7 linked regions of the Coturnix japonica genome follow. The protein of the gene in region 7 interacts with the protein of the main gene of each other region in a biochemical or structural test. Links are inferred from orthologs where the notes say so. Each region holds a gene or a part of one and is shown on either strand. Other genes may lie near its edges.

The links.
Region 1: the proteins of LRRK1 (region 7) and VGLL4 form a complex in vitro, tested with the Homo sapiens proteins (2 studies listed by BioGRID and IntAct, with this or other methods). The link is inferred for Coturnix japonica from reciprocal best matches to the Homo sapiens genes LRRK1 and VGLL4.
Region 2: the proteins of LRRK1 (region 7) and SNX21 form a complex in vitro, tested with the Homo sapiens proteins (2 studies listed by BioGRID and IntAct, with this or other methods). The link is inferred for Coturnix japonica from reciprocal best matches to the Homo sapiens genes LRRK1 and SNX21.
Region 3: the proteins of LRRK1 (region 7) and NEK1 form a complex in vitro, tested with the Homo sapiens proteins (2 studies listed by BioGRID and IntAct, with this or other methods). The link is inferred for Coturnix japonica from reciprocal best matches to the Homo sapiens genes LRRK1 and NEK1.
Region 4: the proteins of LRRK1 (region 7) and RET form a complex in vitro, tested with the Homo sapiens proteins (2 studies listed by BioGRID and IntAct, with this or other methods). The link is inferred for Coturnix japonica from reciprocal best matches to the Homo sapiens genes LRRK1 and RET.
Region 5: the proteins of LRRK1 (region 7) and CHGB form a complex in vitro, tested with the Homo sapiens proteins (2 studies listed by BioGRID and IntAct, with this or other methods). The link is inferred for Coturnix japonica from reciprocal best matches to the Homo sapiens genes LRRK1 and CHGB.
Region 6: the proteins of LRRK1 (region 7) and BAG2 form a complex in vitro, tested with the Homo sapiens proteins (2 studies listed by BioGRID and IntAct, with this or other methods). The link is inferred for Coturnix japonica from reciprocal best matches to the Homo sapiens genes LRRK1 and BAG2.

What each region holds. Positions count from the first base shown.
Region 1 is NC_029527.1:2,993,413-2,997,729, reverse strand, and holds the start of VGLL4 (transcription cofactor vestigial-like protein 4), read left to right. Parts: upstream 1-1,488; 5' UTR 1,489-1,914; coding exon 1,915-1,996; intron 1,997-4,317. UniProt on the Homo sapiens protein: May act as a specific coactivator for the mammalian TEFs.
Region 2 is NC_029535.1:9,487,563-9,491,630, forward strand, and holds SNX21 (sorting nexin-21), read left to right. Parts: upstream 1-1,268; 5' UTR 1,269-1,475; intron 1,476-1,695; 5' UTR 1,696-1,865; intron 1,866-1,952; exon of another isoform or gene 1,953-2,062; 5' UTR 2,063-2,068; coding exon 2,069-2,330; intron 2,331-2,485; coding exon 2,486-2,634; intron 2,635-2,908; coding exon 2,909-3,580; 3' UTR 3,581-3,943; downstream 3,944-4,068. Other genes in the region: TNNC2 (troponin C, skeletal muscle), read right to left, coding at 435-446. UniProt on the Homo sapiens protein: Binds to membranes enriched in phosphatidylinositol 3-phosphate (PtdIns(P3)) and phosphatidylinositol 4,5-bisphosphate. May be involved in several stages of intracellular trafficking.
Region 3 is NC_029519.1:22,234,561-22,238,098, forward strand, and holds part of NEK1 (serine/threonine-protein kinase Nek1), read left to right. Parts: coding exon 1-159; intron 160-241; coding exon 242-373; intron 374-2,866; coding exon 2,867-2,969; intron 2,970-3,538. UniProt on the Homo sapiens protein: Phosphorylates serines and threonines, but also appears to possess tyrosine kinase activity. Involved in DNA damage checkpoint control and for proper DNA damage repair.
Region 4 is NC_029521.1:3,953,489-3,957,681, reverse strand, and holds the start of RET (proto-oncogene tyrosine-protein kinase receptor Ret), read left to right. Parts: upstream 1-1,386; 5' UTR 1,387-1,654; coding exon 1,655-1,700; intron 1,701-4,193. UniProt on the Homo sapiens protein: Receptor tyrosine-protein kinase involved in numerous cellular mechanisms including cell proliferation, neuronal navigation, cell migration, and cell differentiation in response to glia cell line-derived growth family factors (GDNF, NRTN, ARTN, PSPN and GDF15).
Region 5 is NC_029518.1:14,702,326-14,705,863, forward strand, and holds part of CHGB (secretogranin-1), read left to right. Parts: intron 1-1,772; coding exon 1,773-1,816; intron 1,817-3,110; coding exon 3,111-3,204; intron 3,205-3,538. UniProt on the Homo sapiens protein: Secretogranin-1 is a neuroendocrine secretory granule protein, which may be the precursor for other biologically active peptides.
Region 6 is NC_029518.1:79,192,650-79,196,917, forward strand, and holds the end of BAG2 (BAG family molecular chaperone regulator 2), read right to left. Parts: intron 2,127-4,268; coding exon 2,017-2,126; intron 1,414-2,016; coding exon 1,013-1,413; 3' UTR 507-1,012; downstream 1-506. UniProt on the Homo sapiens protein: Co-chaperone for HSP70 and HSC70 chaperone proteins. Acts as a nucleotide-exchange factor (NEF) promoting the release of ADP from the HSP70 and HSC70 proteins thereby triggering client/substrate protein release.
Region 7 is NC_029525.1:15,837,424-15,841,550, forward strand, and holds the start of LRRK1 (leucine-rich repeat serine/threonine-protein kinase 1), read left to right. Parts: upstream 1-1,295; 5' UTR 1,296-1,440; intron 1,441-1,622; exon of another isoform or gene 1,623-1,803; intron 1,804-3,897; 5' UTR 3,898-4,036; coding exon 4,037-4,103; intron 4,104-4,127.

The sequences.
Region 1 (4,317 bases), on a different chromosome or scaffold from region 7:
TAATTAGAGTCAAATTTGATTTACTTAGATGTGAAGTCTACAGTGATTCAGAAAGATGTTATGTGGATTTTCAGTTACCTCTAGGGGATGCTGTTGTGTTAAAAGTTCCAGTGTACTAAATACATTATATACAGCTTTGGATATATATCTGCCTTATGGAAGAAAAGTGTGTGCAATGCTAAGAGAAGTACTTGAGATAATATCAGAGATAACATAGAGATAGTATGGCACACCACTAGTTGTGGTAGCAACTATCAGTGTATGGAAAAAGAAGTAAGAACTATCCTGGGGTGATGTTAATAACTATGCATGCCACATCTAACCTGTTGATGCACTGATTGATTTCAGCTCAGTGGAAGGTATCTCAGATTAGTGAAGCGTGTGAAGAACGGCAGATGGAACAGACTAGTTGGTAGTTTAAGTAGTACTTTTCAAAATGCTGTGGCAAAGTGCCTCAGTAGTGCAGTAACAAAGCAGAAGGATTCCCAAAGTGGAAATTAAAATTTCTTACTGATTCTCACTGACTATCTGCTCTCCTGTGTACCATTAGAATTCTCCTTCCCAGGAAGACAGGGAAGAATTGCCATCCAATTTGAAGAGGAAAGAGAGGTAGAGGCAAGATTAGGACTCCATTAGCCTTATTGTTTGTCCTAGAACAAAGTTCTCCGGGGTTTATTTCTCTGTTTCTGTCAAATCAGCCTTCAGGTGTTGATTAGCCACGGGAAGTTCAAGCCGATGCCTGCTAGGTTAGCACATGCCTTCCTCTATACAGATGTTCTGCCCTCTCCAGATGAGTCACACACATCTGTACAAGCAGCGCCAGCCTTTGTGGTCAAGGCTTGAACTGCAGAAGGGCTGACCGCATCCTGGGATGAGACCAACTGCTGTGGAAACCTCCATCATCTGCGGCACTTCATGTGGAGCTGTACCAATTGCTAACGATCCAAACAGAATTTCTGTTAACTAATATACCTGAAAAGAATCAAATGTAGTGACGAACTGATTGGCAGCAGTGCGTGTGAGCGCACAGTACCTATGCACAGAGGTAAACCATCAGTGTCACGTTTCCCTAACCAGCTGCTGTTCTGCTCTGCCACTCTTATATCACTGCAATAGTACATGGCAGTGCCTGAGGTCGTGCTGGGAAATACAGCAAAAGAACAGAGCTAAGGACTGTTCAGAGATGGCTGCGCCGTGCTGTGGTGGTGCAGCAGTCAGGCCGCTGCCCGCATGGAGGCCTCCCAGCAGCCGTGCCGCCTTCGCTTCCCGCTCGCGGTGGCAGCGCTGCTTCCTGTCAGGGCGGCTCTGACATGGCCCCTGCTGCACAGGCCCCTTCTGTGCAGGCTCTCCACCTCCTCCTGCTCTTTCTTTCAAACACTTAGTGCATTTAGAGCCTGATCTTGTACAGAAAATATCCCTGACATTTGAAGAGCTCCAGGGATTCACTGAGCATGCTCAGTCCTCCCCGCCTGATAGAGAGAGGAAGCTGGTTTACATACGAGTCATACCAAGCATAGCCTGCATGTCAGTGCAGTTAACTTGCAGCGGGCTGTGAGGAGAACTAGTGTGTCTTTGTCCTAGGAAATTTCCCTTGTTTCTGTTTGCTTTTTCTTTCTTTCTTTCTTTCTTTTTTTTTTTTTTTTTTTTTGGAGAAAGACTTGAAAAGTTTTCAGACAGTTTTCTTTGTACTGAAGGACGCAATATACTTTTAGTTTGTAAAAGTTTGGAAGGGGTCGTGTGTGTTTTAATCCTTCCAACTTTTCTTTAATATACTTTGTTTTGATTAGTGAAGGCTGGGCCTTGTGCTAGTGAAGTTTCGGGGGCCGGGAGCGTCCTCAGCACCATTCGCCTGGCTTCCATCTCCCTGAATCTGGGTGAAAGCAAACAAGCTGGTCTTTTTTGCTAGCCCAATAAATGCTATTTATGAAGATGGACCTGTTGAACTACCAATACTTGGACAAGATGAACAACAATATTGGCATTCTGTGCTACGAAGGTAACGCTTTCATTTCACAAAGCTCTTTTGTCGGGTGTGTTTTATGTTATTTGTAAGCGTGGATTTTCTTCCTGAAAGAAGATCTCTATGGTTGGTTTTAAGATAGCTCACAGTCTGGGTTGTTAATACGGCTTTGTTTAAGGGAAGGACATTTTTTTTTTTTTCTTTTTCACGTTAGATTTGTTTAAAGGACTGTGTTGCTTCTGTGTCTGCCAGGCAGATTGTTTGTTGGTAATGTCTGCAGCTGTGAAGGAAATAGTTTGTAATATGGGTGTAGGTATTAATTTACATTTCTGCTTGTAACCGTACCTAGCAGTCGGGCACCGCCGCTTTTAGGTGGGGGAGACGCTTTTATACAGTGTAGCTCGAAATAATTTTTACATCAATTCAGCAGTTGGGTCGCGAACAATGAAGAGTTTGAGTGCACAGCCGTGGGGCTCACAGAGGCGCCGTGCTGCAGAGCACAGAGTAGCCCATTGTTTGACTTCTCATTTCCTGCACAGCTCAGAGAAAGCCCTGGCTGCGAGATGCCTCCCCCTCCTCCATCGCGCACACCCCTCCTTTCCCAAGAACCACCCCACGCTCCCGTCCCCTGTGGAAAGAATTACACAACTAGTTGGAAAATGTAATTTTTTCTCTCTGCTGGACTCTGAATTTTACCTATGTTGTCTCCAGCTAATGTAGGTTGGCATTTGCTCTCCATTTTGTAAGCATTAATAGTCCTGTTTTGAAGTTGCCTGAGGTAATAGAGTAAAATAAGTTTCTTAATCTTAGTGGAGTTTTATCTACGTGCAGTTTGAAGAAGTGGTTATGGCTTGGCTTTGACTGGAAAGAAAGGCACCACAGAGCTAATTCGGCTTGGCAGTAGAACTGTTTTTGCTGTAGCCACACACAAGCCTTGCAGAAATCTTTCTTCTGATTCAGCAGGAACATTTTCCGTGTTCATTTGGAAAATAAACTTGCTGTAGTTGTTAGGGAAGAAACAATAAGGAGTACACATAGGAATAGAAAATGCCTATTCATATGTTCAAAAAAAGGACTAGGCCAGAGCTGAGCTTCTCTTTGGAAAATAACATCTTTTCTACCATTAAATCAGAATGGACACATTTCCTTCCTTTGGGAAATGGAGGAGTTTCTTATAGAACTGTTAATATTTGATTCTTTTGTTGTCGTTGTTCTTTCTTTTCCTTTCCTGCTCAAATATGGAGATAACTTGCTTGAATAAAGCTGTTTTAAAGAAGTTTGAGTTTTCATATCAGGACTGAGTAATCCAGAACTGAGATAGTGCAAGACTAGTTGAATTTTCTGGTTCTTTCCTACCTGTGTTTTCTCCATTATAGCTAGAGGACTAATTAAGAAAAGACAACTTGAAGGATCCTTTAACTTTTTGTTTCTCTCGTAGTAAGCAGTGCTTTGTTTGGAGTCAAATAACAACTTCTGATGAAGACCATGAAGTTTGCTTAAAATTCTGCTTACGTAGTACATGTTCATGAGTGTTTTGTTGACTGAAGCAGAAAAACTGTAGCTTTGGCTCACTACTTCAATTCATTAGAATTATGCCTAATTTTAATGGGTGATTCTTTCCAGATCTCCTTTTCCACCCTTTTCTCCATTAATTGTTATTTGAATAGATCTTTGCTTTAGAAGTTAAAAGCTGCTCAGAGTACTCTACTATAGCAGTCTTTGTTTAGCTTAAACATCTGTTGCTATTTTCCTTATTATGGAAGTTAACATTTTTAACACTAAAGTAAACATACAAAAAAATGAGAAAAAAAAAAGCAAAAATTCGGTGGTGTTTATAGTGAGGTGTTTATATCCCAGTGGTTTAAAAAGTATAAACAGTCACTGACAACATCTGCACTGAACTGTAAGGGTGTTTTAGAGATGCCTACAGATCTTCCTCTGCCGGAGTATTTATTTTCTAAGAGCTGTATCAGCTGTGATGGATCTTGTCTTTTCAAGGACGCTGCTGTAGTAGTAAGTAGACTGAGAACAAAGTGCCCTTTCAGACTCAATTAATTAGGATTTATTGAAGGTCATACTTGAACTACTTCTAAGTAGTTGTCTTCCTAAAAAGTACTTTGTACTTTTGCAGATGTAGACACAAATATATTCTGTGAAAATAGGATTGAAATTTCAGTGGAAAGAATTATGTGTCTTATCTGGATTCATATTATATGTATGGACCTATATCCTACAGGAAGTAAGTGAGATGACTTCCTTATTCCTTTATATTCTTTCCTGCAGCTCTCACTGTTACTTATTGAGAGAATATGTTTGTTGATGAAACATACTGTTGTCGTTTTATAATGTTTACTCTA
Region 2 (4,068 bases), on a different chromosome or scaffold from region 7:
TTTTTGGACTCTCCTCGACTCCCCTTATAGGGAGCAGAGCTCAGCGGGCACCTGTTTGCCCTGGATCGAGTTTCTCCTGGAGGCGCGGGCTGTCTGGGGCCGCAGAGGTGTCGCATGACCCAGCGCTCGGCTTTCAGCGCCTTCACACAGCCCAGCTCCAGCTCTGATCGCCCCATGCACCCATTAATTACCCCCAGCCAGCCGCACACTCCCTCTTTGGGGCACATCTTATAGGGGTACACATCCCATAGGGGGACATACGCCATGGGGAACGTATCCCACTGCCCCTACATCCATGCTACCTCCTGCCATAGCCAGCCTGAAGGGATCATCCCTCTGCCATCGCCCCATAGAGGTGCCTGGCAGCCCCACACCGCGGTGCCCAACACCTCCGGCCCAACCACAGCTCAACCCAGCACCACTGGAGCTCTTACCATTGACGCCATCTTTGCTGCTCTCTTCCTGCAGGGAGTCAGCACCTCCTGCACCAGCAGCCCCCGCACACTCCCTGGCTCCCCAATTTGTAGTGTCCCCGTGCCCCCAGCCGTTGGCCCCCAGCCCCAGCAGCCTATCAGCTCCCTGGTGGAAATCCGGCCCCGCTCATTGGCAACGGGCTCATTTTACCTAATTTAGCCAAAGCGTTATTGGCCAAGAGCAGGGGATTAAACGTGGGTCTGAAGCCGGGATAGAAATTCAAGCCCTGCAGGGAGGGACGCAGCATCTTGGCAGGAGTGCGGCTCCTTCATCTACACCTCCTTGTTCCAGGACAGCTCAGCATGGAGGGGGTTAAAAATAGCCCCAAAGAGCAGCATCCCCAACACCAGGACTGGGCTTCCCCCATGCCAGGCATTAGGGACAGGGCTGGGTAGTGCTGCCTGAACCTCTGCTAACCCAGGTGCCGCGGCTTGGGACAAGCAGGCAGCACTGGGGCCACGTCCCATCCCTTACCCCACAGCACCCCAGTTACTCTGGCTGTGCCCAAACCATCAGTCCCTCCTTTCACTCCTTTCTGTCCTAGAGAGGTCAAGGCGAAGCTGCAGCCCTCAGACCATCACTGTGAGCTGCAGGTGGGTGAGGAGCGTGGCCCTGCAGTGGGTCCTGGCACTGCTGTGGGTTCCCACTCTGCTGGCAGCCACTACCAGAAATGGCACGGCTGCTCCGTGACTTGGGGAGTGGGAACGATGCCCGTGGCCTCCTCAAAGGCTGCGGCTCTGCCAGGTCCGTGGCCCTGGGTCTGGCTGGCCAAGTGGCCCACAGCCTGCAGCTCTCCAAAAGGGTTTTGTGGCTGCAGAAGGGCTGTCGGTCCCTCGGGACCCTCTGCTGGGGCAGCTCTGCTGGCACCCCATGGATGGGGCAGCACAGCACAGCAAGGAGCAAGGACAGAGTGATGGCAGCAGCTGGACCATTCCTCGATATTAATAGACATTCCCAAGAAAGCAGCGAGGACAGAGCGGGGATGGTGCTAAATAAGGGCGGTGAGTGCCAGGCAGCGGCCATGGCTGCAGCCCAGGAGCAGGAGCGTGTGGCGAGGCTGGGGATGGCAGGGTGCCGGCTGAGGGTGCCGGGTGCCGGGATGTGGCGGTGTTGGGGCGCTGCGCTGTTGGGGTACCGAGGTGTCAGGGTGCCGGGGCACCGGAGGTTGGGGACCATCATGGAGCGGTGCCCGGGGATCGGTCACGGGCTGTGCGTGCACAGACGGAGCCGGACCGCGCCGAGCCGCGCTGCGCCGTGCCGGGACGTGACAGCCCCGCCGCGATCCGGGTTCCCAGCGGAGGCGGAGCCGCGCAGGGAGGATCCCGGGACGAGCAGCGGCGGAGCGGCCATCGCTCGGCACCGCCCGGAGCGGCCCGGCACAGCGCGGTACGGTACGGAGAGCAGCGCCCACAGCGGCAGCGGGGCTGAGCGGGGGGAGCGGGGTTGAGGGTGGGCGCGGGTCGGGGGGGCCGGAGGGAGCCGGCCGGGAGCGGGGCCGTCCCGATGCGGGGTCTCGCGCTGCCCCCGCTCCTCCCCCTCCCCGTGCCCATCCCGGTGTTGGGGCGGCCGGGCTGACCCGTCGCTGCAGCCGGGGATGGCCGCCCGCATCCTGCACCGCCTGCGGCACGCGCTGGGCGCGGACGGCAACCGGGAGGAGCGGACGCACGACGGCGCTGAGACCGAGGACTGTCCCGAGAGCTCGGAGCTGGAGGACGACACCGAGGGGCTGTCCACGAGACTCAGCGGCACCCTGAGCTTCAGCGGGCACGAGGAGGACGAGGACGAGGAGGAGGAGGAAGAGGAGGAGGAGGACGGCGGCGAGGAACTGCCTGCGGGGGATGCTGCGCAGGACGGAGGCAGGTGCCGGGATGGATGGATGGGTGGATGGATGGATGGATGGATGGATGGATGGATGGATGGATGGATGGATGGATGGATGGATGGATGGATGGATGGATGGATGGCTGCCATGGCCGCCCCGGGCGCCCGCTGAGCGCTTCTCCCCGCACAGAGTGGGGCCCGGCGGCGCGGCCCGGCAGCGTGTTGAGCCGGCAGCTGCAGGAGCTTTGGCGGCGGTCGCGGAGCAGCCTCGTGCCGCAGCGGCTGCAATTCGAGGTCACCAGCGCCAGCGTGGTCAGCGAGCGCTCCTCCAAGTACGTGGTGAGTGCGTCCACGGGGCCGCGACGGCGGGTGGGGGTTGGGGCGGGCGCTCACTTCTCTGTGTCTCTCCCTGTGCTGCCCCGACGGTGCCGCGGCTCAGATGAGCCTCAGGTAACTACGGCCGGCGGCTCCGCCGTGTGAACGCCGCCCTGGGCACGCAGCGTGTGCCCGGCCCAAGGCTCCTTTGCTGCCGTGCGCTCGGTTCGGCCCCGGCCTCACCGGGGGGGCCACGTCCCCCATCGCAGCAGCCGCCGACCCCCGTTCCTGCCCACAGCTCTACACCATCTACCTGACCCGCTCCGGGCAGTTGGACAAAGCTCCCGCCTCCATCTCCCGCCGCTACTCGGACTTCGAGCGGCTGAACCGCCGCCTGCGCGGCCGCTTTGGCTGTGACATGGCGGCCATCGCCTTCCCCAGGAAGAGGCTGCGGCGCAACTTCACGGCCGAGACCATCGCCAAGCGGAGCCGAGCCTTCGAGCAGTTCCTGTCCCACCTGCACTCCATCGCCGAGATCCGCCGCTCCCCAGAGTTCCTCGAGTTCTTCTTCCTGCAGGACCTGCGTGCCGCCCAGCGCCTCACCTGCACCGGGATGTACCGCGAGGCTCTGGCCACATGGAGCAACGCCTACCGCCTGCAGGACCGCCTGGGGGTCTGCGGCTCCGGCCGCTTCCTCCTGACGCTGGCCGGGCTGGTTGTCTGCCACCAGGAGCTGGACCAGCTGGGTGAAGCCCACGGCTGCTGTGAGCAGGCGCTGCAGCTGCTGGAGGCCCAGGACAGCCACCCGCTGCTTGGGCCTTTCCTCCAGGCTCACGTCCACCTGGCCTGGAAAGTGGGCAAGGATAAGCGGCAGTCGGAGGCCCGGCTGCAGGGCCTGCAGGAGGCCGGGGTGCCATTGCAGCAGCAGCCCAGCCTGAAGGAGTGTCTCATCAAGGAACCTCTGGAGTGAGGCCGGGGGCAATGGGGTGCAGGACAGTTTGCACTCCGGGGTGGGAGAGGGAGCAGTGAGGGTTGGGATTGGGCACGGAGGCAGAGTTGTGTTGGCACAGGCTGCACGTGGTGGCTGGGATCAGGGCTGGCCCCTCTGGGAGCCATCTCTCAAAAATGCACTTTCTATGTCAGTTTTTCCACCGGTGCTGGGTGTTGCTGCCCGCACTGTCAGGAGCCAGCTGCTCCCTGGGGCTCTTAGACAGGACTTTAGCTGAGACACATTGGCACTGCATTAAAGGGACAGGAAGGCTCCTGGCCAGGAACTTCCAAAAACAGAAAATAAAAAGGACTTTAATAAAGTCTTGGTAGGAGAAAGAACAGGGGCTCCTGTGGTATCTGTGTAGCTTCACTTCCCCCTGAGGCACCACACAGAGACACCCACCAGAAGGAAGCCCTTGTGCCTCCCACAGCAGGAGGTGGGAACATCCTTGTTCTTCCCTTTGTGGC
Region 3 (3,538 bases), on a different chromosome or scaffold from region 7:
CGGTGGAGGAGGTGCTGGTCATTTTCCTGCCTCTTTCAGAGGACAGTATGAGCACTATCATGCTATTTTTGACCAGATGCAAAAGGAAACCTTCAAAGTAACTAAAGAGAGGCAAGCCAAATGGAGGGCAGAAGTACAAGGCCAAGAAGCTGTTGAGAGGTATGACTACCTTCCATGTGAAGTTGTATATGGTCTGCTTCAGATGAAAGTAATGAAAGTTGCTGTACGTATTTATCTACAGAGGAATTCCACCTGGAATACGTCCAGGAGTTCCTAAGGGGCCTGCAGGTCATCACCATTTACCTGATGCTGATGCAATTAGGAAAAAAGTGAAAAGGTTGAAGGAGGTGTCTAAACAAGCCAGTGCAAACAGGTTGGACTAAAATAATCCATAAATCTGTCCCTACATGTTAGAATTTTGTTCTATCTTGTTCCATTTAGTAGTTGGACGTGTCTGAGAATCATCTTTATCCATTGGTAGTGTGCTGTCTGTTTGTGTGTTGATCCCTCACAGACCACAGTACTTTCAGAACCAATGGAAACCTTGGCTTTCCCAGTAGGGGAAAAAATAATGGATTACCAGCAACCTAAGCTAGATTTAAGCTAAGAGGACTGGCTTAATGCAGTTATAGTCTATGTAGAACTGCCTTCTCTGCTTTTTTCTAGTTCTGATTTCTGTGTTACATGCCAAGACGCTTCCTTGTCCTGTCATCTCATCCTGACTGCCTTTTCTCCATCTAAGCATTTTTATTTATTATTTTTTTTTAAGAATAGAAGAGTATCTAGAAAGCTCTCAGCACTTTTAGCTTCTGTGTATTGATCAGTGTATTTTTTCTGGATGACTGAAATGTGTCATTTCAGTCTCCTCTGATTATTCTCAGTCTTTTGCACACAGTGCTACAATCTCCAAATCTTGCCTGGTTAGGAAATCATAGCATAGGTTATAGTATTGCTTGCCTCACACATCTGATGGTATTAAATGGTACTTTGCTTGACTTAGCCAAGATTGTTTTAAATCTGTTCAGATTTGAGATGAACCATTGTGAATTAAGAAGAGCACGGAGATCCTGAGGAGAAATTGATTCGGTATTTCTTGAATCCATGAACTCAGAAGCACTCAATGAGCTTACTATGCAAGAGTTTCGAAACAGATAATTTTTCTTTTTCTAATCATAATCTGGACTACTATATAGCTATATAGCTATTACTGCTGTCCTGCTTGTCACATTACAGCGTTACACAGACATCATGGAAGTTTTGTGTTTTAAACTGTATATTTTAAAAGTTGAAAAATCTTCAAATTACAGTATCTCTGATTATGCTGCCCCAACTAAAGTGAAGTGTTCTCAACTTCAGTAGTCTTTAAAAATTGGGCAGTAGGGCTGACCAGGAGAAATTTTTTTGAAGCATTTTAATAAGGTTACTTATTAAAGGTTACTCAGCCTTAGATTAGGAAAATCATTATTGAAAAAAATTGTTTAAATTGAAGAGTGTTGGGTTTGGGCTGTTTTGGTTTTTTTGTTGTTGTTGATTTTTTTGCTCAGGGGGCACTTATTCAAAACTGTGGGCTAAACTTTGTGATATTGATTGGCTTTGTCTGTCAGTTGAGTTCATGTGTAATGAACAGCTACAGTTAAAATCATGTAGTGAGTCAAATAGATTTATAAAGAAGTTATCAAGTGGTTCTTTCTTTACCAGTAACACAGTGGACGGCTTTGCATTTCCAGAACAACTACAGCACTTGTTCTATCAAAGTAGTTTTCTTTCTCTTCTTGAATTATGCATATGGAAATATCATTTTATTTCCTCATTTGTAGCTGGGTAGCACAGTGGAGAAAATAAGATTCAGAGGTGTTTTATGAGTGTGCTAAGTTATTTATGAATTGCTGACAGTAGCTCCCGTATGGCAAAATGTTCTTTCTTTAACTGTTTCGCCTTATGGGTTATTGCTGTCTGCTTTTCCTGCTATCTTCCTGCCTTTTGTTGGACTGCTAGTACAACTCTACAGTCAGACGAGACTGGGGGAGCCTTGGGAAGGGAACTGTCTCATCATTCTATGGTTTGTTAGCATTTCTAACACTGTCCATGAACTTTTTTTGTTTTTTGTGGTTTTTTTTTTAAACTTCTTTTCCTTAGAGAGCTCCCTCATCAGTCTGTTTTTAACCAGTTTTTTTAGAAAGTTTCCTCTAGCACGTGATCATATGTGTGCGCTAGTAGACTTGCCACATACTCAGTTACATGTGAATGCATCCTTCTTGTCTGTCCAAACAGAAAATATCTGTTGTGGTTAATTTTGTGGCAGGAAAACTCCTTCAGAATCACTTGAAAAATAACAAAAATCTCCATGAATCCACCAAAATGCTATTGGAATGCCACCATTGAGACAGTTATCTGTGTGGTAGAAGCTCTTGCTCCAAGCCTAGATCAGACTTGCTAGGCTGTTGGATATCTTACTGAATGGCTTATGGAGACTTCTTGCCCGTCTCCGAAGGAAAATCTCGAAGGAATGTGTTTGTCTTCTTATTTTTTTTTCAAAATGTGATTACTAATGGGACAAGCTGAGAAATTGTCAGAAATAACCACTAAAATTATGGTTCAACATTCTTTTTTTTATGAACAGAGTGTGCAAGAGAGCAACACTGTTTGGGAGGAGAGTTTAATTGTACTTTTTATGTTGTTGAGTGTGTTTGTCTCTGTATTGTTAAAGTCTGACTTCAGCATTTTGGCTGATAAAAGGCATTTTTCTGAAGATATGTTACTTATGAAGGTAAATCTCTTATTTGTTTCTCAGTTAGGATAAATGCACTGGTAATATGAATACTGTATTTCAGAAGCTTAGAGCTTGATATGTGTTGCAATTATTCAGGCAGAAAGGATGGTTACCTGCAGAAAGAGCAAAGCAAGTTGAAGAATTCTGGCAACGGAAGAGGGAAGCCATGCAAAACAAAGCTCGTGCTGAGGGACACATGGTATGAAAAATGCAGTCTTTGTGTATTATTGTTTCGGAATGCTTTATGAATCTTTAAATTAGTGGTATAGCCATGAAATACTGGCTAAATAGCTTTCTTGTGCGTGTCTAACTTGATATTGTGAACTTTAGAACAGTGTTTTGCATTTTCTGTTGGTCACAGCTGTAAAGTTTTGGTTGAACTTACATATAAACTAAACTAGTAGAGTTTTCCTAAAGACTTGCTTTTTATTAAGATACTTTAGCTTTGATGCAGAAATATCCTTAGGTTAGTATATTTGTTTTAAAAGCATGAGTCTTCTGTTTTAAAAATGTATCTCTGTTTTAAAGTCTCTGAGACCAGCAAACCACTTTCATAGAAATAATGTTTGTTTAGTCTGCCTCTTCGTAGATGAGTCAGTAGTAGTACCTACTTCTATTTTGTTTTTAACTTTCTTAGCATTAATATAGTTGTATACGATACACAGTGCTATTTCTCTAGTGTATTCAGCTGAGCCCAAATGCTTTACACTCAATGGACAGCTGCAATAAAATGGGGAGGCTCCAACTCTGAGCCATGGCTCCATATAA
Region 4 (4,193 bases), on a different chromosome or scaffold from region 7:
TTGCCTTCCTTGTGATAGCCCTCCCCTTGGCTTATGGAGACATCCCAAAAATGCTTCTTGGGTCCCCCTGTCAGGCGGCTGTGGAAGCCCCACGAACACTTCTGCATGTGACTAAGTGTGCAGGAGCTGCATTCATGCTGTCCATCAGGCAGCTCCAAACGCAATGAATGTATGGCACTCACTGCTACTCATCTCGAACTCATTCTTTCCCTGCCGTGTGTCTGTACTTGAGTTACTGTTTCCCCATAGAGGAATACTGGGATACTTGATGGAACCGAAGGAAAGTGAAAATAGCTTGCTTTCTTTTATCAGTTCTATAGGGCAGTTGCTTACATTTTGCCTGTTAGAGTGTTGTGCATTTAACTGAAGTCTGAATTAGGCTAGGGAGGATTGCCCGTTTGATTTGTAGTTAATCTATGGCAGTTCTTGCCGTGTAAAATGACAGTTTACGCTGAGTGTCATTGGCCGCGTGCGTCCCCTTGCTCGTTCCAGGGCGTTTCAAAGTGTGAAGGCTGGGAACGAGCAGAGCGGTAGCTGCCGCTCGGTGCCTCGATGCCGCCGTTCGCATCTTCCAGCAGCGCGGCCGTGGCAGGGGAGAAGAAAACATCTTCCCGGCAGGTTGGAGCGCTCGGGGTGGAGAGATACTGCCTGGGGCCGGCTGTAGCCGAGGGGCTTTGCCGGCTGCTCCCGGCGGGGTCCTGCGGGCGGCCGGGGCCGCTGTGCGCCCGTCCTGGGGCTGTGCCGTGTCCGCCCGGCGCTGGCGAGCAGCGGCTTTCCGACCGCGTTTCTCAGCAAGCCGACCTGTTGTTGAAGGGTGGTTTTGTTTTGCCTTGATTTTTCTTTTCTATTTTTTTTTTTTCTTTTTCTTCCCGCTTGCGGTTTAAAAGCTGCGTTTGGCCGCCAAGCGGGATGCTCGCATTCCGGGTTACTTTGGTTGCCTGCCAGGTGGAGCTCATCTCGCTCAGCATCCTCCTAACAGCAAGCAAAAATTGCCTCCTCTCCCAAGGATTAATTATTCAAGGCGTTTAATGTGTTTGTGGGGGGTGGGGGGGGAGGGAGGCGTCCACTCGTATCCATCCTGGTGCCGCAGCGCCTGTCCCCGCTTTGTCTCGCACCTGGTGTGTTTGCGCGGCTCGCGGCTCTTCCTCCTTCGCAGCCTCCTCCTCCTCCTCCCTCCGGGGGGCGGCCGGAGGAAGCGGGCCCGGCTCTCCGCCGCGGCGGCCCCGTCCCGCCCCGCACCTCGCTGCCGCCCGCGGGGATGCTCGGGGCGGGGTCCCCTCCGCGGGGGCTCCTCGGGCGGGCGGGGCGGGGGCGGCCCGGCCGCCTGGCGGGCGCGGAGGAGGGGCCGGGGGCGGCCCGAGCCGGGCGGTGTCGGTCCGGGCAGCGCGGGGGGCTCGGCGGCGGGCGTGGTGCGGCGGGGAGCGGAGCGGCTTCGCCTCTCACTTGGGCTTCTCCTTGCAGAGCACCGGGGAGACGCTGAGGGGATCGGGAGCTTCTTCCCGCTTGCGTGGTCGGGTCCGGGAGGAGCGAGGGAAGGAGCCGGCTCACAGCATCCCAACGCGGTCTGCATCCCGGCTCAGCACGTCCCGCCTCGGGCATGGGTCGGCCCTGCTGAGAGCCCCGCTGCTGCCCGGAGCGCCGGTGGCCCAGGAAGATGCGCTCGGTGCGGGGGGCGGCCGGCCTCCTGCTGCTGTGCGGGGGTGAGTACCGGGCGGGATGCCCGCCCTCGGGAGCGGTGCGCGGCTGGTGGAGCCGTGCTCGGGCCGGCTCCGGAAACCTTTCCTCAAATTGAAACGAGATAGGAATAATCCAACCCTTTTTTTTCTTTGCTTTTTAAGACCGATAGCTAAGTTAGAACAGATGTGAGTTGCCTTGTTCTTTAAATTTATGATGTGAAGGAGAAGAATATTCAAGTATGTTCCTATGTAAGTTTTTCGGAGATGATGCCTTCTCTGATGTCCTTCTCCCTTTATGCTTTATGCACCATTAAATGAAATCGGGTTTGGATTGATAAGTGACGATGACCAGAAGATGAAAAGTTATTGGCTTGTAACTTAGACGATGCTGTCCACAGATGTGAACTTTCTAAAGCAAACAGAAAATGCATTATATCCCCGTTTCCTCCATATGGCGATGTTTGCCGATGCATTTCTGATGTTTACATACGTAAATCCAAGTTGTTGTTTGCTATAGAGAACGCGGAGCAGCCCTGCGCACTACAAATGTTCTGAAAAGGGGAAGCGTGAACGAGGCCAGCAGCTGGTCTAACAGTCAGGTGCAATGCAAATTCTGTACTCGGGATTCTCTCTAAAATGTCTAACGATGTGCTCCTTCCCGCTGTTGTTTCTAATTAATTACGGTAGTTCACAGCAGCTTAAACTGCCTTATGTGTGTCAAAGAGATGGCAAAGCCTCTATTTGGTATCTTTTTCTTTCACTGTGATGAAATACTTCAAGTCGCCCTTAGTCTTTTTCCACGTTATTCCATTATTCTTATGGCCTTCTGATCTTGGTAAATACTCCCTGGGATTCAAGCCTATGTTGCCTGCAAATAAAATAGGTAGCAAATGCCAAGTCTAAATACTCATTAAAAATAAATAAGTAAACAGAGCGGATTGTATTCCCAGCCATTTCACTGTCAGGAAGAATCAGCCAGACTTGGATTGCTATCGGATCATCTATCACACTGCTTCACTTTTCTTTTTGTGTTCATGGCAAATCCATTTCCTTTAATGTTTGTGGCAGAATTAAGAGAAATCCAGTTTAAACTCAGATCTTCAGTCTGAGGGGTTTGGTTTCTCTAATTAGAATAGCACACATTCGTTTGCTTGGAAAAGATTGCTGGTGATTTCACTGTAAGCTGGACAGATGAATTTATTCCTGTTCCTGCTGCGATGCCCCAGAACCCTGTTTGTACTGAACATAACAGATGCTTAGATCTTCCTTCTGAGCTGCTTTTCCTATGTCATCTTTTCTTTTGCTCTCATTTCAATGTATCCCTTTAACTGGACTGCCGTTTGATTCTATGTGTACTAAACTAGAGACTGGGAGCGGAGCTGTCTGTGCGTCTTATGTGTACCCCAGGCAGATATCTGTTCTGTAAGTGTCAGAAGTAAGCAGATGGATATTGGTTCAGCCAGAAACCTGTTGTTAAATATAACCACAAACTGTTAACTCTTGGATTTGTCCATACCTTGGAGGGGTTTTATAGGAGTTAATTTGAGTTGGATAGACTGCCAAGTTGGTTTTCTCAAAGTACCGTTTGCTCATGCTTGCAATTACAAATATTTGTTTACTCTCTCATCTTTGACTGGTGGAGCTTCATAGCTGATTCTCCTCACTTTTTACTAAAAACAAAGGGAAAAAAGGTTATATGTATTTAGGATCACTCTTTAGCATAATGGCATTCATAGTTATTTCAAGGAGTGAATTCTTAGCATGTTAGCAGTACTGTCTGGGTGTCTGTCGCTGGTGAACTACTGTTTGAAGTTTAGATGTGTGATATTAATTCTGATTATTGGAATAAAAGCTGAGTCCATAGCAGGGTGACTAAGGTGGGTTGTTCTGTCTTGGGAGCATTAGCAAAATTCCCAGGTACAAGGAATGCCTCTTTAGAAACAGAGATTGTGCGTGATGCCGCAGTGCTCCAGCGGGGTGAGGAATGCATCACTGGAACCTGAGTGGTCTGTGGTGGTATCTATCAATATCATGCTCTCTCTGGGCATTGTGAAGAATTATGGCTCTCAACTGGGTGCGTGGGTGTCCAGCTGGTTGTCTTGCCAGAGCTGTGGAGGTTGGTGGCCCTACCTGTGGTGTGGGGTTGGAGATTCATGATCCTTGAGGTCCCTTCCAACCCGGGCCATTCTGTGATTCTGTGAGTTGTTTTGGGCCACATTTAAACTATATGATATAGTTAATTTATATAAATAACAGAGCTTCTGTTTTTTGATATATTTTATTCCCACATTAAAAACAAAGAAGAGAGCAATAAAACTCTAAAAGTAGTGGGTTGGACACATACATGAGGATTTCCACCCAATGTGTGGTGATGCTCATGCACTCAGTCCCCCTTGGTACATCTTTAGTTTATCTAACCTGTCGCATTTTGGAAAACCTAAAGCTGCAGTAGTCCTTAAGACATACGCTCATAGATGACCCAAAGGTTTCTCAAGTGTGGACAAGACAGTATTTGTA
Region 5 (3,538 bases), on a different chromosome or scaffold from region 7:
GCGCCTCTGCTGCCATCTGTCACGTGGCAACAAAATGCAATGGGATATTAGTGGGAAGGTTCCATCTCTATTGCCATGCCACCAAACAATCTCCTTTGACATCCTGGACCAACATAATGAAGCAGGAGGCATTACTTTCAGAGCAGCCCCACTGATGATTATTTTTTGCTTTTACAGGTTTAGCCAATGTATCAAAATCTGTGGACTTATTTACCATAGCTTTGGACTTATTTACTGTAGCTTGAGCTGCCACTTGTCCAAGCCCTGTGTCCTGGTTTTAGCCCAGATGGTTGGTGCTGAGGGGCCAGGCTACTTGGCATGGCAGATCTGCCACCATGATAGTGTGGGGAAGGGTCTGGGCTGTATGTGGCCCAGGGGTTGGGAGTTGAAACTGCCTACTGTAAGGTAAATTGGCTTCTGTTCTCCATAATCTTTCTATTAATTGGGTCCAGTACTATACTCCTTGAGGAGTATTGAAGAGAAGGGGATGCTTCTAAAAACTCCAGAACTGCATCCCAAACTGTGTGTCTGGGCATGGAGGTTATAATAAGTGTAGTAAGTCTGTAAAGCAGTGATACAATAACTCTTTTCTTTACCTACTCTTGTGTGGCTGGCAGACTTGTTTAACTTCAGTAAAGCTCTAGGTGGATAAGACTTGACAAAGTTTGTTAGTGCCTCACAGACAAACACGTTAACCTGCTGGAGACATAATAAGAAAAAAAGAAGAGGACAGACTCTTTAGCAGGCTCTCGTGTGATAGGACAAAGGGGAGTGGTTTCAAGCCAAGAGTAGGGAGGTTTAGACTGGAGATAAGGAAAGTGTTTTCTATAATAAGGGTGATGAGGCACTGGCACAGGTTACCCAGAGAGGTGGTGGGTGCCTTGTCCCTGGAGACATTTACGGTCAGGCTGGAGGGGCTCTGAGCAACACGATGGAGCTGTAGCTGTCCCTGTGCACTGCAGGGGAGTTGGTCTACATGACCTTCACAGGTCTCTTCCAACTCTAACAATTCTGTGTTAATGCAGCAGTGATGGCAAAAGTAAAGCAACCTGAAGGTTTTGTTTACAGCAGGTTCTTTCCAAAGGCATATATATTGGACCAGCAGTACAAGTGGTGTGGGGAGCTGTTAATTACCCAAAGTGTCTTTATGATTGAGTTGTACTGCTTCTTTCTGGAGGTTTGTTTGTTTGTTTTTCACTGATATTTAACTTTCAGTTCATTTATTGAGCTTATAATGGACCACTTTGTGAATGGAATAATCCAGGTGAGAGACAGGATTGTTCCAGAAGGATTAAGCCAGTAGTTGTTTTTCATCATTGAAGTGGTCTCTTGGTGGGGAGATGGTCGTGGGGCAAACTAAGCCCCTGCAGAAGGTGAAATACATCTCAGTTTGGGAACAGATTTTATTTCCTCTTCTTTCACCACCAAACAGGTACATCTACGTGAATACCCATTACTGTCAGGCTCTATTCCTGTTATTTGGGTTGTATTCTTTTAGTGCTAGAAATGTTGGTGGCCCTACCTGTGGCAGGGTGTTGGAACTTGATCACCTTTGGCATCTGTTCCAACCCAAGCTGTTCTATGATTCTTTCCTTCTAGGGTGAGTCTCCGCACTGCTTTCCCGTTCTGAGGAAGAAAAGATAAAATGCGTCTGGTTTACTTACCCTTCCAGCCCAAAGTTTAGGCAGCCTTAATGTGCTGAGGACTTCTGCCAGTGATATTTATGGTCCTGCTAGGACTAATGAGTCTATAATAATTTATTTTTCTTCCAGGTGTCAGCACAGTTCCAGTGGAAAAAGACCATATGGAAGAAATGGTGAGTAGCTTGAAGTCAAAGCAAATTTCATTAAGTATGAGTCTCATGCTCCCTGGCATTCTGGCTCCTGTTTTCTTTTTAAGCTCTCAGGGAAACGTTGGGTTTTGGTTTTATCTTTCTTGGAGGTTGTTTATTCTTTTTTTCCTAAGGGAAAAAGCTCAGAAGTCCTTTAGCTATCAGTGCCTTTGATGGAAACAGAAGCTGGCTTCTTGTGTCAAACTCTACGTTTTGCAGCTGCCTGAAAAAATCATATGAAGTATTACTTGATAGTACATGTAATCAGACTGTAAAAAGTGAAATGGTAAATTAGGAGTAAAGTATAATGGTGGAAAATGTCTACAGTTGTTATGTAATGACCTTTCTAACGCAGTCCTTGCTTGCTCCTTGGAAAGAGGTTCTTAACCTGTTTGATTAAATCTACTGGCTGCTCTCAGGATTTCTAATGTGACCTTAGTATCTCTCCACTGGTTGATAGTGTGGTTTTTACATTAGCAAACAGCTGTAAATAATTAAAAGCAGGGAAAAGAAAATCAGCCATACGTACATTTTTCTTGTCTCCTCCCATCCAGTTACCCAGGTTGTCAACCTGAGGAATGTCTTGGATCCAAAGATCTGAGTGCTTGCCCGCAAACAACAACTCCAAACTTGAAAACCATTTTGGATGAATTTATACAGAAGAACTACTTTGCTTTTTTGCAGTTAGGTGTAAAGGTGGTTGTGCCATTTTCAATATATTTCCTCAGCATTTAGCAGACTCTCCATTTTAAATGTAAAGTACAAAAAGAGGTGGTGCTACAAAGCACATACCCATCCAAGAAGACAAGATTTTCACAGAGTAAACTCCTCAAATATTTTTGTATAGTATGTCACTTATAAAGGTATTTTTTAGTTTACCCAGAGCCCAAGCAGTACCTTTGTTTTGTCCTCATTTGGGCAGCTCATACTGGATGATCCTCATATTTTGGATGTATTGTGGTGGTGTTTTTGTGTTGTTTGAGTCTCCTTTGTACAGAACAGGATGTTTAAAAACATAGAAAAGGAGCCTGTTAACTATATGTGCATCAGATCTAACTAATTACTGTTCTTGTACTAATAGATGAGTGAGGAGCAGAGCACTTCTTACCCAAAGGCACTGGTAGAGCTGAGGGTTGCCCAAAACTCTTAAGTATGTGCTAAGCTCATAACCATTAACCATGAGCTTTAACCCTAAATTAGCTTCACTTACTGACTAGGTTAAAAGCAGGATTTCTGTTTTCACTGTGAGAATTTGTTGTCTGATTTTTGTTTCTCCTAGATAACAAGGTGCATAGTGGAAGTTCTATCCAATGCTCTGTCTAAGCCAAATGCCCCACCAATTAATCCTGAATGCAAAGAAATCCTCAAGAAGGGTAAGTAAAACCTTACCTGAACTCATAAATGAAATTTGATATTTGTTTATAAAGCACAATTTTCAAGAGATGAATGATTTTAATTCCACATGTAAGAATAACGTACTGGAAGTTACATACAGACTTACAGTCTTTTTGTCTTGCCTTCTACAAGTCCATCGTCTGAATTTAAGTTCAGAATGTCTGATGTTCCAAGTGCAAACAACATGAATAGTCAGGTTTCTTTTCACTCCCCCAGTCTTAAAACTGATTCTGCTATGGGCATTGAGTGATTTATTTTTATTTCTAAGACTAACATGGAGTGAGAAAGTCAAGTTAGAAATATTCTTAAAAA
Region 6 (4,268 bases), on a different chromosome or scaffold from region 7:
GTTATAATTACTCTTGGGAAGCAGGCACAGCCTCATAGCTGAAGATGTGGTGGCTGTGGAGGTCCCCATCTCAATTCCATCTCTGCCCATGCATGGCAGCAGCGATGCCCTTGCAGTGCTGGAAGCTCCCAAAGCACAGAGCAGCGGTCCCAACACCGTGCGTATGGCACAGGTTGGAGACGCAGAGCTCGGTGGCTGTGCAGATGGACCTGAGATGAGCTCCCAGCTCAGGTGGGCACTGCAAGAAATCTGCTGCAGGTGTGGAGGCTTCCTCGCACGCAGGGTGCTGCAGCTGCCCGCGCTGCTCTTCCCTCCCACAGCGCCAACAGCTGAGCTTCAATTGGAGGTCAGGTGAGGGCTGAGCAGCGCAGCCCCCTGCAGCACCAGCAGAATGCTGCCCTTCAGTGAACTAACAGCAGAACAACAGGCTGCTCAGTGGGGGCTCTGAGCCTCTTTGGACACACACAGGATCTGTCATTCTCTTCTAAGGATGATGAACAACACAGTAAAGAGTAAAACATTGTGTTGTTTATGAAAATACAATATGCAGTTTATTGATTTGTTGTTGCTGTTGTTGTTTATTGCCATGATTTGTCTTTTTTTTTTTTCCCCCAAGAGTCTATTTCACACACTATGTATAGAGCAGAGAAAAGTTGGTATCGCAGTATATGACCAAACAACCGCAGTTGTTTTTTTCTATAAAAGGAGGAGAATGGAGGACAGGCAAGATTCTGATCGATTCTGACAGTTCAGCAGAAGCACATTACAACTTGCAACAGAGCAGCATCAACTCTACAGAAGAAATCATGATAGCATTCCTTATTGCTGAAACAAAATGCCAATGCTACCGCAACCCATAGAATGCCTGCACCTTGCAATCCAAGATACCGTGGTGCATGTGTATGCGTATATATGCGTGTACTTGTAAACAGAGATTTTCCTTATAGCTTCTGTGTGCTTTTATGGAGAACTGGATCACTCTGTGGTTTGCCAGAAGTAGCCACGAGGCAGATTAATCCTGTTTGGTGATGCAAGGCTGCCTCATCGAGGATTTCTGATGCTCCAGCAACGTGATGGACTTCTCAGAATTCTCCAGGTTTCGGAGCAGAGTCTCTAACCTTCTTTTGATCTTCTTCTGATCCTCGATAGCGCATCCAATGACAACGGACTGAAATTTCTGATCAATGGGTCCTGCCGGCACATCAGACGTGCACGCGCCGTAAAGCGACATTAAGCGGATTTTGGCGTCTTCCAAATCATCCAGGAGCTTGTTGACGATTTCATCGATCATCTTGGTGGCGTGCAGGAGGGACTCCTGCTGCTGGGCGTTACGGATGGTTTCAACAGAAACCTCCACAGTGAGGGTTCGGCCCATCAGACGGTTGGCAGTCAGGTTAAGTTCTTCTCTCTCACCTAAAGCGAAAGCAGAAGGTATCCTGTGTTACTGACTAACACCTCCCAGTGCCTTTACATCACCAAGACAAGCAAAGTGCTACCGTGTGCCAACATGGATGTCTGTTGTTTCTTTTCTTTTTAAGAGGTGACAATCAGATTGATTTTCAGGGGCCAGAGGTTTTACATCTACGTGCCTGAGTCCCACCCATGTCACAGAGGCTGGTGTCTTCTGATCTGAAATTAGGCTGTAAGCTTTAAGAAAGGTATAAGCGATGTTTTTCCACTGCTGACACAGTGCTTGTTTTGTCACACTGCAGTAAAGCACCATATCAGGAAGCATTGATCATTACAAAAGCAGGCACGTGAGGGATGGACCCTCAATGCTGCTGTGAGAAAGAGTATAAATACACGGCACCTCGAAAGGCCACAGACAGAAGAGTTACTTTGCTTACCAGATGCAGTTAGAGGCCATTAGCAAAAAGGAAACGGGGACCCCAGAGGGAGGGAAGGCCCATCGGTATCCTCTGCCAGCTCCAGCATGGTGCCTTTAGCACTGGAGCAGCTCCCCTTGCTGGTCTGCTTTTAGGGCAGACAGGAGGGGATGGCAAAGCAGCTTCTCACCTTCACTGATGTGCCTCATGTCCTGGCTGTTCTGTATGTTGTGGATCATTTCTAGCAGGGTTTCTTTTTCTTGTTCCATAGCAGATGCTGCGTCACGGAAAGCCTCTACCCTGGGCGTAGTTAAACCAAACAAAGTCTTTCAATAATAAAACACATTTTCCCCCATAAAACTGCCAAGATCTTTCAATTAAACAAAAAAAAAAAAAAAAAAAAAAAAAAAATCAACAAAAGAGCCCCACTGCAAGTGCAGTCAGCTTGCAAGTATCTGTGCTCCAGACATTCTGACTCCATGACCCCCACCTACATAAAAACTTAATCTTTCAAGACACAAAATCATTCTAAAACTGAATACATGAGCCAATAGATAGAAAACAACCAGCTCCTTTGTAATGTGAGAAGAATGGGACAGACAGGCAAGGTGAGCATGTTTTGTTGCCTTTATGGGTAGTCCTGCCAAGCGCCTGCTTTCACGTCGCTGTGGTTTGTTTCTCTCCATAAAGATGCAGCAAACTGGCAGGAGGCTGTGACTCACAGAGGATGAAGCTCTGTTCTGGTCAGCTCCTATTTCTGGGCTTGCAGGAAAGCACGCAGTTGAGCTATCCTGAAATCAGACCCTTTCCCTGCACAACTCACTGTGCTGAACCTGACACGTGGCACACTGCTGCCAAGGGGTCAGGCACGGGGCAACACTGTGCCATGAGCTGTTCAGCCAGAGAGCTGCCCAGCTGTGTGCTGCTGCGTTGCCACTCTTCACCCACAACCCATGGCTTCTTCCCTGCCACGGCTTTTAGGAGAGGGCTTTTGCTCAGAGCAGTGTCACCTAGAGCAGCACAAGGGGAACAGCTGCCTAGGAGAGAAGGGGCAGGAGGGGCACCTTCCTGACTGCGCCTGCTGGGTGCTTGGAGAGATCCCAAGTCCAAGCAAAGCATCACATGAACCTGGCCAATGGCTTGGGATGCTTTCAACACAGCTCAGAGACCTTGATGCTGCAAACAGGCAGGGAATGCACCCGGCCTGGTATATTCATTAAGTCTGTCCAGAAAGCGAAAGCAAACCGAAGCACTGCTAACTCTCCAGTTCATTCTTCTTCCTTGCTTTATAGTGCTCTTCCGTGGTGGTGCTGGGAAAAGGGAGAAGGCAGGTGGGGCCAGGAACTCAGGGCCTTCAGTACCCACACGCCTCACGCACGCTGAGCTCAAGGAATGGCTCTGTTTGACGAAATCTTTAGGCTGAGTTCCCCAGTGAAACCACACGCTTCAGGCCCTCCCTTTCATGTTAATGTGAGGAGGAATGGGAAAAGTTAATGCAATGCAAATTCTTGCCAGGAGCAAATATTCTTAATTGTTATTTTGGATGGGTTAGTAAGAGTAATAAGGGCAGGTGGAGCCACTTCATACTTCAGATGTCAGCACTTTATAATTTAGGAAGTCTAGCAGAATTTTCATACGTGCCTCGCCGTGCCTTTAAAAAAAACCAGCACTGTCACCATTTGGAAAGTCCATTTTGGTCCCCAGAAAGCTGAAACAAGTGCAAAATTTCACTTTTAACAGCATTTTTACATCAACTCAAGTCTGGCACTGCCCTGACTCAAAAGCAAAGGTCTGCCCTCAGTGCGCAGGTTGACCCGTGGCTCTTACCAGCTCTGCGTCCAAGATCAAGCTACCAGTTCATGGCCTACAAAGCCAGACTGTCAGAGACAACGACTGTGTACCAAAAACAATGACCAATCACACCTTTGATTGACATAAGTTTATAACTAAATCAGCTGTGACAAACCTGCAGGGCGCCCAGCACTTGATCCCCAGCTGGCTCCCTGCACCACTGCTGAGGAAATGACAGAATGGCCCAGGTTGGAGGGGACTTCAAGGATCATGAAGCTCCATCCCCCCACCACAGGCAGGGCCACCAACCTCCCCATTTAACACTACAACAGGCTGCCCAGGGCTCCATCCAACCTGGCCCTGAACACCTCCAGGGATGGGGCATCCACAACCTCTCTGGGCAGCCTGTTCCAGCTCCTCACCACTCTCATAGTAAAGAACTTCCCCCGGACAGCCAGCCTAAATCTATCCTCCTTCAACTTAAAGCCATTTCCCCTTGTCCTGCAGTTATCTGCCCTTTCAAAGAGTTGACTCCCCTCCTGTTTATAGGCTCCACCCAGCAGCACCAGAGGGCCAGACCATGAGAACCTGTGAGCTTTCACTCAGAAACACGCAGGGCTGGGTTCTGGAGTTCAGTCATCAGCCTGAGAA
Region 7 (4,127 bases):
ACTATATTTATAAATTAGGATACAGTTAATCTAATGTATTTTTATAGCCAAGGGTACATGAAAATGCTATGTTTAAACTTCTTGTATATATTTTAGACTATGGGTATCTTTTTTGTCATAGTTCCTAATAAATGTTGAACTTTGTGAAATAGTTTCTGTGTGCTGCATATCGATGTGGCTCCAAGGAAGGAATGGGAATGGGAAACTTCTATTGCCTGCACACTGGAAGGGGTTAAGGCTTCATGCAGAACATGCTGCCAGACGGGGCTTCGTGAAACCCTCTTAGACACAGCCACTGTTGTATGACTGCCCCATGATGAGACATTCCTGTCTTATCTCCTTTATCTGCAGAGGAGACAGAGCAAGAACATAGCACCGTTTTTAACGCTCTTTGCATAGAATGGCCTGGGTAGAACAGGACCTTAAAGATCATGTAGTTCCAACCCCTCTGCCACAGGCAGGGTCACCAACCACTAAACCAGGTGAGAAGAGATACAAACAGCCACCACCTCCCTACACACACACAGCCAAATCCCATCCATTTTCCACTCTGCAGCAGCATCACTCGGGAGCTCTGCAGCCGAATGTGAGAAGGGAGAAGCACGGAGATACAGAGGGACAGAGTGATGTAAGCAATGGAGTTATGAGTAAAGTCAGGAGGAAGAGCAGGATGAGATTTGGAAAAGGAAAAAAAAAAAGATGAAGAAATTCGTGCTAAGGGAAATTGTGGCCTCTCTCAAAACAAACTGTGATCTGAGATTTTATTCTTATTCCAAACAATGGTGCCAAAAAGAAAAGTATAAGAAGGGCCTGTCTAAGAACCAGAGCGTGAGGCATAAAAGGCAGCAGACGCGATAGAAAGTGCAGAGTGTGTCCAACAGGTGGCTGCAGCCAGATGCAGATTAACGGCCGTCTGAACACCCTTTAAAGCACCTGTGAGGATCCAGCTTCTCTGTGACTCCGTAATCACAGCGAGAAAAGCGCTGCAGAACAAACCTCAGGCAGCAGCAGCTACGGGTGTGGCTTTTTCCATCCTCAAGAGCCCCATCTCTTGATTTAAGTCCAGGGAACGACCTGTGTCGTTGAAGGGAGCGTTATGGATAACATAAGTCACGCCGAAACGCGTTCCCTTCACAAGGTCCGTGGGGTGGGGATGATACAGCCGTATATCGGTACAGGGCGCTGCGGTGGGCAGGGATGCGCGCACCGCTCGTGTTGGTTGCGGCCCGACGGGAGGCAGGGGGCGATGCTGCTGTGTTTATCCGGAGGAGCAGCTCCGGGATCCGGGGAAGGAGCAGCCTTCAGAAAACAGAGCTCGGCTTGGGCCGGGCTTCAGGGCACGGATCCGAGCAGCGAAGCACCCGCGCGGCTGAGAGATGGCGGTGCGGCCCTTGTGCCGTCCAATGTTTGCCGAATAAGAACGCGCAAAACTAAAGCGGTGTAAGCACGAGTAGGGCGAACCGAGGGAGAGGGCGGACACCGAATGATGGACGTGGGGAACGAGCCCGGCACAGGGGCAGCCCCGCGGTCCCCTCTGCGCCCCACGGCGGGGAAGGGCGCTGAGAGGCGCTGCCGACCGGACCGCCCCGAGCAGCCGCCGGGGTTCCAGGCGAGACGCGGCTCCGACCGCGCCCTGACCGCGGCTCCCGGGCGGGCCCAGCCGGGGCCGGTGGTGGAGGAGGCGCCGCGCGGCTGCCCCGCTCCTTTTCCTTTCTTCCTCCCTCCGCCTCCCCCGCCGCACAGCCAGGCGGGCGAAGGAGGAGGAGGTGGCCCCGGAGAGCCGGCAGCCCCGGGACGCAGGAGGTAACAGCTGCCCGTGGCACAGCGCAACCCCGGCTGCGGGGCGGGTGGAAGCGGTGGGGATGGGGGGGGGGAGGGGACTTAAAATGCGGAGAGAAGCGGGGAACGAGCTTCAGAAAGAAAGTTGGGAGCGAAGTTGCGGAGCGAGAGGGGGCGGCGGGCGCTGCGTGTGCTCGGAGGGGGGGGCGGCAGACGGGAGCTGGCTGGGATCGATGGTCCCGTTTCCTGCTCAGTTGGACGCACGAAGCGCCTTCGCTTCTCCCTTTCCGTCGTGCTTTTCCCGTGGGGCTGCACCGTAGCAAAACGCGGTGACGGCGTCCCAGGAGAGAGGCTGGGAATACATGTGATGGCATTGCAGCCCTCCCCCGGCTGTGTGCTCTCGTGCTCTTGCGGAGCTCAGTGGACCCACACGGCACCGTTCTCTCTCCTTACATCAAATCCACACGCGGTATTTGCACGTGTTACAGCTGGGCACGTCTTGGTTAAGGTAGAAGCGCTGTGGGGGTGTTTTTAATAGACACAGAGGCCCTGAAATACGGAAATACAGCGGCGCACTGACAGCTCAACACTCGCTGCCATAGCTGCAGCTAAAGGGAACTAGTGATTGAAATTGTGCTATTGCTTTTCCTTTTGCTGTATATGAAGAGCATATATTCACACCCCCAAGTGAAAGTTTCCTTACTCAGCCCCTTCCAGGTGCTGGGGCTGCATTCTGATGAATGGAGGCCGTGATGCAGGGCTGTGTCTGCACACCTGTGTCCATTTGGAGTTAGGGCTGTAAAATGGTTCAGCTGTGGGGTGGGTGTGCAGGTGCCTCCATGCAGCCCTTCCCTCTTTTCTTGTGATCACCCAAATCAATTTTCCCATCTTTGAGAAGCTCCCAAGCACCAAACTGCAGTATGTGGCTTCGCCCATTGCCCAGCTCTGAGCTGTGCATCCCACTGCCAGGCACCATAAAATAGGGATCAGCAGAAGCCGAGTTTTGCCATAAGTGCACCTAAAACTCAAACCCTTGCCTGGAAACAGCTGATGAAGCATTCAGTGAGGTCTTTTTTTTAACACTTGGTTTGTGGTTAAAGTGCTGTGTGTGCAGTGAGGAAGGAGCGGGCAGCTTTAGGGTGGTGGTGGTGGATCAGTGACCCCATCCCCAGCTCAGGAAGCCACTCACACACCTGGGCCCTGCTTACCAAACCAGGAGGTGCGTCGTGTATTTTGTTCAGTCAGAGCTTCTGGTCCAAACCTCGGCACTGCACAGCAGACGTGAGAAAATCTAATAGGGATCTAATAGGTGAGAAAGGTTGCTGTGTTGAATCTGAGATGCGTTTGCAGACTGAAACTGAAAGCAGAAAATGAAGGAGCGCTGGTGTCAGCTGGGCACCGACTGCAAAGTCAGCCTTTAATCTCTATGGATAAAGAAAAGGGGTTTTGTGTGGGGGAAAAAAAAAAGGGAGAAAATGTTACAGGCGTGTAGACTGGAAGAGGTGAGAAGGTAGAAATGCCCTGGAAGGCACCTGAGCCATATGCAGCCAGCATGAGAGCTCCTAAGCTTGGTTTGCATGCAGGATGCACTTCAAGAAGCTGTTTTGAGAGCACTGGACTTCACTAAAAGAAGAGGGCAGGGAAGCTGTTGTGTCTCTCTGAGCCCTCTTCTTTCTATAGAGGATTCTCAGTGTCGACATCAGCGTTTTCCAGCTTCTCACACCAGAGCTGCAGTCATTGTGGGTGGGAAAGGTTCTGAGGTTGCCTTTAGGATTTTTCCAGCTGCGTCTCATTGTTTCAGCCCTCTGCCTTCACAGGGCTTGTGGGGAATGTGGGGCTGCAACTGTGACCCTTTGCCCACCCCATATATCCTCCACCCAGACACAGCTGCTTTGGTGGAGGAAAACTGGGAGCAGCAGAGGAGATGTTGTTTGTTTCCCATCTTAATTCATGCTACGCTCTTAACGAAGCTATTATGAAAATCGTTGCGTTCATATTTGTGTAGTGTATTTCTTCAAAGCAGCATGTTCTCAGCCGTGTTGGAGTGCATGGGGATGCACTGCTTGCAATATCAATACCGGAATGATTTAATTTGTTTTGCTGTTGATTTCCAATCAGGGTAAACGATGCTCCATCAGGACGGCATTTGGTAGCGGCCGCTCTGCCCTGCATTTAGCTGACGTTCAGCTTTGACCACGCTCAGTTGGAGGCGCTGCAGAAAGTTTGCTCTGTTGGATCCTCACCACTCAGACCCAGAATGTACTGGTGCGTGGGGACGGAGGAATCCGCTGTTTCCAGAGAGAGCAACATGGAGCCACAGAACGGTAATGGGGCAACTTGCTTCTCTA